2 linked regions of the Saccharomyces cerevisiae S288C genome follow. The protein of the gene in region 1 binds, or shares a complex with, the protein of each later gene. Each region holds a gene or a part of one and is shown in the gene's direction. Other genes may lie near its edges.

Region 1 (6,667 bases):
GTATGATTGTTAAGATTATAATGGAAAATATCTTTGGGTTCGCTGGTGAAGAAAAAGACTCTGAGAATTATCATACAAAAGTGAAAGAAATTAAGAGTAATAAAAGCTATGATGCTGGTGAAATTCTCGCCTCAAACATCAGCCTGACAGAATTTGGAACATTACTCTCTCCTGTGAAGGCTTTGTTGATGGTCAGAATTAATCTAAGAAATCAAAACAAACTGAGTGAATTATTGAGACGATATTTGTTGGGTTTAAATCATAATAGTGACTCTGAGTCAGAAAGTATCCTCAAGTTCTGCCATCAGCTTTTCCAGGAATCAGAAATGAGTAATTCCCCTCAAATACCAAAGAAAAAAGTGAAAGACCAAGTAGATGAAAAAGAAGACTTTTTCTTGGTAAATTTGGAGTCGAAATCTTATACCATCAACTCAAACAGTTTGCTTTTGAACAGCACTTTACAAAAATTTGCTTTAGACTTACTTAGGAACGTAATAACGAGACACCGCTCCTTTTTAACTGTCTCGCACCTAGAGGGTTTTATTCCATTTTTGAGAGATTCGTTACTTTCGGAAAATGAAGGTGTGGTAATTAGTACTTTACGTATCCTGATTACATTAATTAGGCTAGATTTTTCCGATGAATCTAGTGAAATCTTCAAAAACTGTGCGAGGAAGGTACTAAATATTATCAAGGTTTCTCCTTCAACTTCAAGCGAATTATGCCAAATGGGTTTAAAGTTTCTTTCTGCCTTTATACGTCACACAGATTCAACATTAAAGGATACTGCTTTGAGTTATGTTCTAGGGAGGGTCTTACCAGATTTAAATGAACCAAGCAGACAAGGCCTTGCTTTTAATTTCCTAAAAGCACTTGTTTCAAAACATATCATGCTTCCAGAACTCTATGACATTGCGGATACTACTAGGGAAATCATGGTCACAAACCACTCAAAAGAAATTAGGGATGTATCCAGGAGCGTTTACTACCAATTTTTAATGGAATATGACCAAAGTAAGGGTCGTTTAGAAAAGCAGTTCAAATTTATGGTCGACAATTTACAGTATCCTACCGAGTCCGGCCGTCAGTCCGTAATGGAATTGATCAATTTGATTATTACAAAGGCTAATCCTGCTTTACTATCCAAATTATCATCTTCCTTCTTTCTGGCGCTAGTTAATGTTTCTTTTAATGATGATGCGCCAAGATGCCGTGAGATGGCTTCAGTATTGATTTCCACCATGCTTCCAAAGCTTGAAAATAAGGACCTTGAAATTGTTGAAAAATATATAGCCGCTTGGCTAAAACAGGTTGATAATGCATCCTTTTTAAATCTTGGGTTGAGAACTTATAAGGTCTACTTGAAAAGTATTGGGTTTGAACATACTATTGAGCTAGACGAGCTTGCCATCAAGCGTATAAGGTACATTTTGAGCGATACGTCGGTAGGATCAGAACATCAGTGGGATTTGGTATACTCAGCTTTAAATACGTTCTCATCTTATATGGAAGCAACAGAGAGCGTTTATAAACATGGTTTCAAAGACATATGGGATGGTATTATCACATGTCTCTTGTATCCGCACTCATGGGTCCGTCAATCGGCGGCAAATCTTGTTCATCAACTCATAGCCAATAAGGATAAGCTGGAGATATCATTAACCAATCTGGAAATTCAAACCATTGCAACAAGAATTCTTCACCAATTAGGTGCGCCTTCTATTCCGGAGAATCTTGCGAACGTCTCAATAAAAACATTAGTTAATATCAGTATCCTATGGAAGGAGCAACGCACGCCGTTCATAATGGATGTATCAAAACAAACTGGAGAGGATCTAAAATATACTACCGCCATTGATTATATGGTAACTCGAATTGGTGGTATTATCAGGTCGGATGAACATCGTATGGATTCTTTTATGTCGAAGAAGGCGTGTATTCAGTTATTGGCCTTATTAGTTCAAGTTCTGGACGAAGACGAAGTAATTGCAGAAGGGGAAAAGATATTATTGCCGCTATATGGTTATTTAGAAACATATTACTCAAGAGCAGTTGATGAAGAACAGGAAGAACTACGCACTCTTTCAAACGAATGTTTAAAAATACTGGAAGACAAATTGCAAGTATCCGATTTTACAAAAATATACACTGCTGTCAAACAGACCGTATTAGAAAGAAGAAAGGAAAGGAGATCTAAAAGGGCAATTCTGGCTGTTAACGCTCCACAAATTTCTGCTGATAAAAAGTTGAGAAAGCATGCGAGATCGAGGGAAAAGAGAAAGCATGAAAAGGATGAAAATGGGTATTATCAAAGACGTAACAAAAGAAAGAGAGCCTAGCTGTAATATATCTTTATAACATGTATACTAATGAATAAAAAATCCAAGTTATAACGTCAAAGCTGTAGTACGTTAGCATTTCCGTAAGTAAAACCGTAAACTTGATACGTTTTTTATTTTCTTTATTAATAGTAATACTATACACTGTCTTTAATAAAACGACGCTATTTATAAAACTGTTAGATAAAAGACATACCAGTCTTCCTCATATGACCTACTTTAAAACCCCAAATGACAAGAATGTTTGATTTGCTTTGTTTCTTTTCAACTCAGTTCTTACAGTTCTTGAGAAGCTTTGGCAGTCTTGGCAGACTTCTTTGGCAACAAGTTTTGGTGAATGTTTGGCAAAACACCACCTTGGGCGATGGTAACATTACCCAATAGCTTGTTCAATTCATCATCATTTCTGATGGCCAATTGTAAATGTCTTGGAATAATTCTGGTTTTTTTGTTATCTCTAGCAGCATTACCAGCCAATTCTAAAATTTCAGCAGCCAAATATTCTAAGACAGCAGTTAGATAGACTGGAGCACCAGAACCAATTCTCTGGGCGTAGTTACCTCTTCTTAGCAATCTGTGCACTCTACCAACTGGGAATGTTAAACCAGCTTTAGCAGATCTAGATTGAGAAGCTTTAGCAGCTGAACCAGCTTTACCACCTTTACCACCGGACATTATATATTAAATTTGCTCTTGTTCTGTACTTTCCTAATTCTTATGTAAAAAGACAAGAATTTATGATACTATTTAATAACAAAAAACTACCTAAGAAAAGCATCATGCAGTCGAAATTGAAATCGAAAAGTAAAACTTTAACGGAACATGTTTGAAATTCTAAGAAAGCATACATCTTCATCCCTTATATATAGAGTTATGTTTGATATTAGTAGTCATGTTGTAATCTCTGGCCTAAGTATACGTAACGAAAATGGTAGCACGTCGCGTTTATGGCCCCCAGGTTAATGTGTTCTCTGAAATTCGCATCACTTTGAGAAATAATGGGAACACCTTACGCGTGAGCTGTGCCCACCGCTTCGCCTAATAAAGCGGTGTTCTCAAAATTTCTCCCCGTTTTCAGGATCACGAGCGCCATCTAGTTCTGGTAAAATCGCGCTTACAAGAACAAAGAAAAGAAACATCGCGTAATGCAACAGTGAGACACTTGCCGTCATATATAAGGTTTTGGATCAGTAACCGTTATTTGAGCATAACACAGGTTTTTAAATATATTATTATATATCATGGTATATGTGTAAAATTTTTTTGCTGACTGGTTTTGTTTATTTATTTAGCTTTTTAAAAATTTTACTTTCTTCTTGTTAATTTTTTCTGATTGCTCTATACTCAAACCAACAACAACTTACTCTACAACTAATGTCCTCTGCCGCCGAAAAGAAACCAGCTTCCAAAGCTCCAGCTGAAAAGAAGCCAGCTGCCAAGAAAACATCAACCTCCGTCGATGGTAAGAAGAGATCTAAGGTTAGAAAGGAGACCTATTCCTCTTATATTTACAAAGTTTTGAAGCAAACTCACCCAGACACTGGTATTTCCCAGAAGTCTATGTCTATTTTGAACTCTTTCGTTAACGATATCTTTGAAAGAATTGCTACTGAAGCTTCTAAATTGGCCGCTTATAACAAGAAATCCACTATTTCTGCTAGAGAAATCCAAACAGCCGTTAGATTGATCTTACCTGGTGAATTGGCTAAACATGCCGTCTCCGAAGGTACTAGGGCTGTTACCAAATACTCCTCCTCTACTCAAGCCTAAGTCACTCACTAGGTATTGTGATTTAGTCATGTTTTCTTTTTATTAGTGGCATTTTTTATATATTGTAACATTAGGGTTCTGTTACTTGTCCAGATATGATTGGAAGGGTCTAGTCTATCAGCCTCCGAAGGGAGTTGTATAAATGTATATATATAACTTTATAAACAAAAAAAATTGGGAAAGATATTTTGCAAACAGTTATTATTAAATTGTTTCTTAAACTCTCCTTAAAGATATACCCTATTTAGGTTCACTACACGAGCATTCATTGAGAAATTTTTTTTAAAACAACATCGATCTTATCTTGAGCAGTTTGGTGCTTATCAGTTCTAGTCCCAACACGAATATCAGTGTGTACTCTAACATATCCTTTCTCATGACCGTATTCATGGATTTCGCCAATCAAACCCATCACATCATCCCAAGGCCCTTCAATTGTTGTTCCTGCACTGTGTAAAGTGCTCTTTAATGGGCTTTCTCTGATTTTTTTTTCAATGAGTGCAACAAAATCAGAAATACTAGCAGAGTCGGTGCCAATAGGGACCATACACACGTCCGCTAAACAAAAGATCTTGGGCATTTTCTAAACTTGTAGTTTATGTGCTTTATAGTTAATGATCACGACGGCAATGACAAAAACTGAATATCTTGATCTCTCCTTTTGACGATGTCAGTGAATCCCGGTTAATGATATTCTGTTTTTCACGGGGTGGAAAAGAGGGGAGCTTGAATCATACTAAAAAAGGAATGTCAAAGAGCTATATAATTCGAATAAAAAGTAAAAGAAACGAAAGGTTTTATTAAAGGGTTTGGAGCTGTTTTCGGACTGAAAGCCAGTAACAAGCTTGTGTAGGAGTTTGTCTGAAAACCATCTTCATTTCAAATAAGAGAGCGAGTAATTTTTAAATAATTTCTTTTCTGAACTACTTAAATCGCTATGTACCTTGCGAAAATTATTCTTTAATAGTTTAACTAAAAGTAAAAAGTTAGAAATCATAAATAAAAAATCAAAGAGACAAATCTCGTTGCAAAAGCTTGAAAAATAGTGCTTTACCAACAGGTTGGCAAACCAGAATGCTAACAAAACTTAAAATCCCATTTCCCAAGAGGATCAATCAATCATATTTACCTTGATAGTATAGGATACAAGTGTCTGTGCAGGCCTCCGATAACATGTAAAGTAATAAAAGTAGGAGTACTTGCTTTCAGCAGAAAATGAAAAAAAGAACGTTCAAACAGACTGAAAATATAGCTATTCAACTGGCACCTACTAATATCAATAATAATAAATTAATCTTGAGCAAATTGATCCTACATAAATCATGTGACTTATTTATTTAATTATTATTAAGTAAAAAAGATTTTCTATTTAAATTTATTAATTAATTTTTTTTCTTAAATAATTATTTTATGTTTTTGTTTTCCGAAAAAGAAAAATATTTCAACAAGAAGTATCAATATATTTCTTGCAAAAAATTGTTCACCGAGAATTGACAAAAAAACCTTACGTCGGTGACGACGATATACAGATCCTATATTCTTCATGTATGTAATAGATTCCCATACCTTCTTCGCATTTAAGACACTAATAGAAATGAAAGCTTTCTATTAGTCATTCTTCCTATGCACTAGACCACGCAAAGGTGAACCGGCTTGGTACGAGAATTCTATCACACGGTAATGATAGTGTTCCCGATGTCAAGCAGTCTTATACAGTACTACCCAAGAGCTTAAGAATAAGCAAGAAGATCTGGCAAGCTACAAGGTACTCATAACGATCTTCAAAGCGTAAGTTATGATCTTATGAAAATCAGACTTTTTTGTCTCAACAAACTCCTAGTTTGAAGATGTTACTGAAATGCCCTTCAAACACTTTTACTTGAAAATCATCGATTACTATTCTAACCTTCACAAATGAGCCTTTACACAACTTGATTAATAATAATATTTGACCTTACTCTAAATCGTCTCAAATATTACTGAGGCACAATCTCATGGTTATTGATAGAAAGAAGAATATAACATATATCTTATTTACATATGTTCGTCAATATTATAGGTAATACAATTTTTTCTCAGAGGGTTTCAAACTATTGAAAAATGGCAATGGTGGACTACAAGCAGCGAGAGCCCTTCTTGCATGATTATTCATATATTTCAATCCGAGCAAATAACTTGTGTTCACCCAACCAAAGCCTTCTGTAGCGACGCCCTTAAAATCAGCACCTTGATTACCATATTCCGCATCAACGCGATGCGGATCAGTCCCTCTTGTCACATCATATTTTTCTACCACCATTCCGTTATAATCAACAAATGATTTTGTAATCATGTACAGCCACCTATAAGCCAATCTTGTAGCTACTTGTTGATAACCATATGCAGATAAACCTTTCCAGGCTAATATTTGGTGCGGCGCCCAACCAAAAGGATAATCCCATTGCCTGATCGGTCTATCAATAGAAATAGGACCTCTTGATTTTTCTGTGCATGCAACTAGTCCGCCGAGCATTTCTAACTGAGGAAGAGCTTTTTCTACTGTGATTTTTGCTTGCTCT
Region 2 (5,113 bases), on another chromosome or scaffold:
GACGAATTTCAATACGTCGACCGTAGTGTGAAAACAATATTGAGGGGACGCTTGAATTTCAATAGAAGAAATGTCGTTAGGACTAAACCAGGAAGATATGATTCCAATATCACTTTATCTAAATCCTGTTCTGATAAATTATTAATGAAACAACGGTCGTCGGTACTGAATTGTTTAAATTATGAACTCTTTGAAAAACCTGTATTTTTAAAGTACATTGTGATTCCTAATTTAGAAGATGAAACGAAACATCATCTAGAGCAATCATTTCACACTCGTCTACCGAATCTAGATAATGAAATTAAATTCCTGAATTGCCTCAAACCATTTTATGATGATAAATTGGATGAGGAGGATGTTCCTGGTCTAATGTGTAGTGTCAAGCTCTTTATGGATGACTTTAGCACCGAAGAAGCGATTCTTAATGGCGTGAGGAATGGATTTTATACCAAATCATCGAAACCACTGAGGAAACACTGTCAATCGCAAGTAAGCCGGTTTGCACAATGGGAACTATTCAAAAAAATAAGACCAGAGTATGAAGGAATAAGCTATTTGGAATTTAAATCTCGTCAAAAAAAGAGAAGCCAGTTAATTATCGCAATAAAGAACATTTTATCTCCCGATGGTTGGATACCCACCAGAACGGATGATGTGAAGTAATATATATATATATTGTTGAATATGCGTATATGCACACTTTTTTGTTAGTGCACCTTAAAGAAATATATACACAGTAGAAATATCTATATATCCAGAGTTCATCTATCTTTCCCTCTCTGTGGTATTATCATCACATATTTTATCATTTTTTATCATCTTCTTCGTCATCGTCAGATGGACCATCATCTATCATTTCCCCATCCTCATTGTTATCACCTGATCCATTGGTACTATCAATCGCTAACTCGGCACCCTGCAAAAGGTCAATTAATTCATCCAGTTCATCACCATGAACCAAATCAACTGGCTTTTGATTGTTATAGTTTCTCACCCTAGGATCCGCACCCACTTCAATTAAGTTTCTAGCAATAAAAGTTCCATGCTCAGGCTCCTCTTGACTGTATCTGACAGTAACATGTAACGGAGTGTCGCCATCAACGTCGTTTTGTGGGTCTATTTCGATTTCACCGTCTTGATCGAGAATCTTGTCGAGAACTTCCCAGGATCCATACTTACAACATAAATGTAACGCTGTATTCCCCAGTGGTTCTTTGGATTCGTTAATTAGCTTTGCAATCTTCTCAGGATCATTATCTAAGCTATCAAATACGGTCTCCAAAAGATCCAGATTGTTTCTTCTAGCTGCATCCAGCAATTGTTCACTTAAAGAAGCACCTTCAGTATTCATGATCAAAAAAAGAAACTAATTTATTTTGTGAAAAACTTCGACTTCTTTCACTTATGACTTTTTTCACTGGGATTCAGAAACTACCTCACAGGACCCCTATATAATGAATTTATTGTCAACCTTTCTATCAACGCGTTATACCTTGGGTATACTAGGAAAAAAAAAAAAAGATACATATGGATGTATATGACCTGCATACACGATCCGAAAATCTTGAACGTAATTGTAACACTATCAACACATTAAAATGGATATTAATGAATTGATAATAGGTGCTCAATCAGCTGATAAACACACTAGAGAAGTTGCGGAAACGCAATTGTTACAGTGGTGTGATTCCGATGCATCTCAAGTGTTTAAAGCGCTGGCAAACGTTGCCTTACAGCACGAAGCTTCTCTAGAATCGAGACAGTTTGCTTTATTGTCGTTAAGAAAATTGATCACCATGTATTGGAGTCCAGGATTTGAATCATACCGTTCTACATCGAACGTCGAAATAGATGTTAAAGATTTTATCCGAGAAGTGCTACTGAAATTATGCTTAAATGACAATGAAAATACCAAAATAAAAAATGGTGCATCTTACTGTATTGTTCAGATATCTGCGGTTGATTTTCCTGATCAATGGCCGCAGCTTTTAACAGTTATTTATGATGCTATCTCTCATCAGCATTCATTAAATGCGATGTCTTTATTGAATGAAATTTACGATGATGTCGTATCTGAAGAAATGTTCTTTGAAGGCGGAATTGGCTTGGCGACAATGGAGATCGTTTTCAAAGTACTCAATACAGAAACTTCTACTTTGATAGCCAAAATTGCTGCTTTGAAGCTACTTAAAGCATGTCTTCTACAAATGAGCTCCCATAATGAGTATGATGAGGCGTCACGAAAAAGTTTTGTCTCCCAATGTTTAGCTACTTCTTTACAGATATTGGGACAATTGTTGACTTTGAATTTTGGAAACGTAGATGTTATTTCTCAGTTGAAATTTAAATCCATTATATACGAGAATTTGGTTTTTATTAAAAATGATTTCTCTAGAAAGCATTTCTCAAGTGAATTACAAAAACAGTTCAAAATAATGGCAATCCAAGATCTGGAAAACGTTACCCATATAAATGCAAATGTCGAAACTACTGAAAGTGAACCCCTTTTAGAAACAGTTCATGATTGTTCTATTTATATTGTAGAATTTTTGACTAGTGTTTGCACTTTGCAATTTAGTGTTGAAGAGATGAACAAAATTATAACATCTTTAACCATTCTTTGTCAGCTAAGTTCTGAGACAAGAGAGATATGGACAAGCGATTTCAATACATTTGTATCGAAGGAAACAGGCCTAGCAGCATCATATAATGTTAGAGATCAAGCCAATGAATTTTTTACTTCATTACCCAATCCTCAACTTTCCCTAATTTTCAAAGTTGTTTCCAACGATATAGAACACAGCACGTGTAATTATTCAACTTTAGAATCTTTACTATATCTCTTACAGTGTATTTTGCTTAATGATGATGAGATAACTGGTGAAAATATCGATCAATCTTTGCAAATTTTAATAAAAACGTTAGAAAATATCTTAGTATCACAAGAAATACCAGAATTAATATTGGCGCGTGCAATTTTGACTATTCCCAGAGTACTAGACAAATTTATAGATGCATTACCTGATATCAAACCCTTGACATCTGCATTCTTGGCAAAAAGTCTTAATTTGGCGCTAAAATCTGATAAAGAGCTCATTAAATCCGCAACATTAATAGCATTTACGTACTATTGTTATTTTGCCGAACTAGATTCAGTCCTTGGACCAGAGGTCTGCTCAGAAACCCAGGAAAAAGTAATTCGAATAATCAACCAGGTTAGTAGTGATGCCGAAGAGGACACTAATGGGGCTTTAATGGAAGTATTAAGTCAAGTCATTAGCTACAATCCGAAAGAACCTCATTCAAGAAAGGAAATTTTACAGGCTGAATTTCATCTTGTGTTCACGATCTCATCCGAGGATCCAGCAAATGTACAGGTCGTTGTACAAAGTCAAGAATGCTTGGAGAAACTATTGGATAATATCAATATGGATAATTACAAAAATTACATTGAATTATGTCTCCCATCATTTATTAATGTGCTAGATTCCAACAATGCAAACAATTATAGATACTCACCCCTGCTATCATTAGTCTTGGAATTCATCACAGTTTTTTTGAAGAAAAAACCCAACGATGGATTTTTACCAGATGAAATAAATCAATACCTATTTGAACCATTAGCAAAAGTATTAGCGTTCTCTACTGAAGATGAGACCCTACAGTTAGCCACGGAGGCATTCAGCTACCTGATTTTCAACACAGATACACGAGCCATGGAGCCAAGGTTAATGGATATCATGAAGGTTCTAGAAAGGCTGCTGTCTTTGGAGGTATCGGATTCAGCCGCTATGAACGTCGGTCCATTGGTAGTTGCCATATTCACAAGGTTTTCAAAGGAAATCCAACCGTTAATAGGAAGAATTTTGGAAGCCGTTGTGGTAAGGTTAATTAAGACACAAAACATTTCTACTGAGCAAAACCTTCTTTCTGTATTATGCTTCTTAACGTGTAATGATCCTAAACAAACGGTGGATTTTTTGTCTAGTTTCCAAATTGACAATACTGATGCTTTGACATTGGTGATGCGAAAATGGATAGAAGCCTTTGAAGTCATTAGAGGTGAAAAAAGAATCAAAGAAAATATCGTTGCTTTGAGCAACCTTTTCTTCCTGAACGACAAAAGGCTACAGAAAGTGGTTGTCAATGGTAACTTGATACCATACGAAGGGGACCTGATCATTACAAGATCAATGGCTAAGAAAATGCCAGACAGGTATGTACAAGTTCCACTTTATACCAAGATCATTAAATTGTTTGTTTCTGAGTTAAGCTTCCAAAGTAAACAACCGAATCCAGAACAATTGATCACAAGCGATATTAAGCAAGAAGTGGTAAATGCTAATAAAGATGACGACAATGATGATTGGGAAGATGTAGATGATGTACTCGATTACGATAAGTTGAAAGAATATATTGATGATGATGTCGATGAAGAAGCAGACGACGATTCAGACGATATAACGGGACTCATGGACGTGAAGGAATCTGTTGTTCAGCTACTGGTAAGATTCTTTAAAGAGGTTGCAAGCAAAGATGTGAGTGGCTTCCATTGTATTTACGAGACTCTATCCGACAGTGAACGTAAAGTTCTTTCAGAAGCCCTTTTGTAGCTTATATACATAAGCCGTGGAGATATCAGATGTAAAGTAGTTAGAGTAGAAAAAATGCGGCAAAATAAGCGCCGTCTATATAAAAGAAAGAAAGTGTTAAATAAACTGACCACAGAAGGTGGCAAAAATAATACGAGATTTAGAAGTCAGATAATGGACCCGATTGGAATAAACAAAGTCTTGGACCATTTAGCACCCTCAGAGCTTATCAAACCTGTTAAGAGTTGCCATAATAAACCTTCAGTGTTGGTGTTGGATGACAGGATTGTGGATGCGGCAACCAAAGATCTCTACGTGAATGGGTTCCAAGAAGAGATTCAGTATCAGAATCCTACACCGGAGAACTTGCAACATATGTTCCACCAAGGTATTGAAATATTGGATTCGGCAAGGATGATCAACGTGACACATTTAGCGCTTTGGAAGCCTTCTTCTTTTAAGTTGGGGAATCCTGTGGACTTTGCTCTAGATGATAACTACGATACGTTTTGGCAGAGCGA

Evidence for each region. Proteins that work in one complex are often made in the same cells at the same time.
Region 2: the proteins of HTB2 (region 1) and KAP114 are in contact, whole or in part, in a cryo-EM structure (PDB 8F0X), measured with the Saccharomyces cerevisiae proteins. Residues at the interface, in NP_009553.1 of Saccharomyces cerevisiae: Ser43 (codon at 3,840), Tyr46 (codon at 3,849), Val48 (codon at 3,855), Lys50 (codon at 3,861), Gln51 (codon at 3,864), Ile58 (codon at 3,885), Ser59 (codon at 3,888), Gln60 (codon at 3,891), Lys61 (codon at 3,894), Leu84 (codon at 3,963), Tyr87 (codon at 3,972), Asn88 (codon at 3,975), Lys89 (codon at 3,978), Lys90 (codon at 3,981), Ser94 (codon at 3,993), Ala95 (codon at 3,996), Arg96 (codon at 3,999), Gln99 (codon at 4,008), Thr100 (codon at 4,011), Arg103 (codon at 4,020), Leu104 (codon at 4,023), Glu109 (codon at 4,038), Leu110 (codon at 4,041), Lys112 (codon at 4,047), His113 (codon at 4,050), Ser116 (codon at 4,059), Glu117 (codon at 4,062), Thr119 (codon at 4,068), Arg120 (codon at 4,071), Lys124 (codon at 4,083); in NP_011273.1 of Saccharomyces cerevisiae: Asp155 (codon at 2,061), Glu160 (codon at 2,076), Leu202 (codon at 2,202), Gln203 (codon at 2,205), Ser205 (codon at 2,211), Ser206 (codon at 2,214), His207 (codon at 2,217), Asn208 (codon at 2,220), Tyr210 (codon at 2,226), Gln768 (codon at 3,900), Ile770 (codon at 3,906), Ser771 (codon at 3,909), Glu773 (codon at 3,915), Phe817 (codon at 4,047), Glu818 (codon at 4,050), Val819 (codon at 4,053), Ile820 (codon at 4,056), Arg821 (codon at 4,059), Gly822 (codon at 4,062), Glu823 (codon at 4,065), Ile826 (codon at 4,074), Leu853 (codon at 4,155), Pro855 (codon at 4,161), Asp859 (codon at 4,173), Leu860 (codon at 4,176), Ile861 (codon at 4,179), Ile862 (codon at 4,182), Thr863 (codon at 4,185), Arg864 (codon at 4,188), Ala867 (codon at 4,197).

The regions. Positions count from the first base shown.
Region 1 is NC_001134.8:232,779-239,445, forward strand, and holds HTB2 (histone H2B), read left to right. Parts: upstream 1-3,713; coding exon 3,714-4,109; downstream 4,110-6,667. Other genes in the region: UTP20 (Utp20p), read left to right, coding at 1-2,339; HTA2 (histone H2A), read right to left, coding at 2,616-3,014; ECM15 (Ecm15p), read right to left, coding at 4,375-4,689; alpha,alpha-trehalase NTH2, read right to left, coding at 6,163-6,667. UniProt on the Saccharomyces cerevisiae protein: Core component of nucleosome. Nucleosomes wrap and compact DNA into chromatin, limiting DNA accessibility to the cellular machineries which require DNA as a template.
Region 2 is NC_001139.9:43,847-48,959, forward strand, and holds KAP114 (karyopherin KAP114), read left to right. Parts: upstream 1-1,598; coding exon 1,599-4,613; downstream 4,614-5,113. Other genes in the region: TAD1 (tRNA-specific adenosine deaminase), read left to right, coding at 1-663; ankyrin repeat-containing protein ANK1, read right to left, coding at 806-1,351; anaphase promoting complex subunit DOC1, read left to right, coding at 4,767-5,113. UniProt on the Saccharomyces cerevisiae protein: Required for nuclear protein import and mediates docking of import substrate to distinct nucleoporins. Serves a receptor for nuclear localization signals. Mediates the nuclear import of TATA-binding protein (TBP) and of histones H2A and H2B.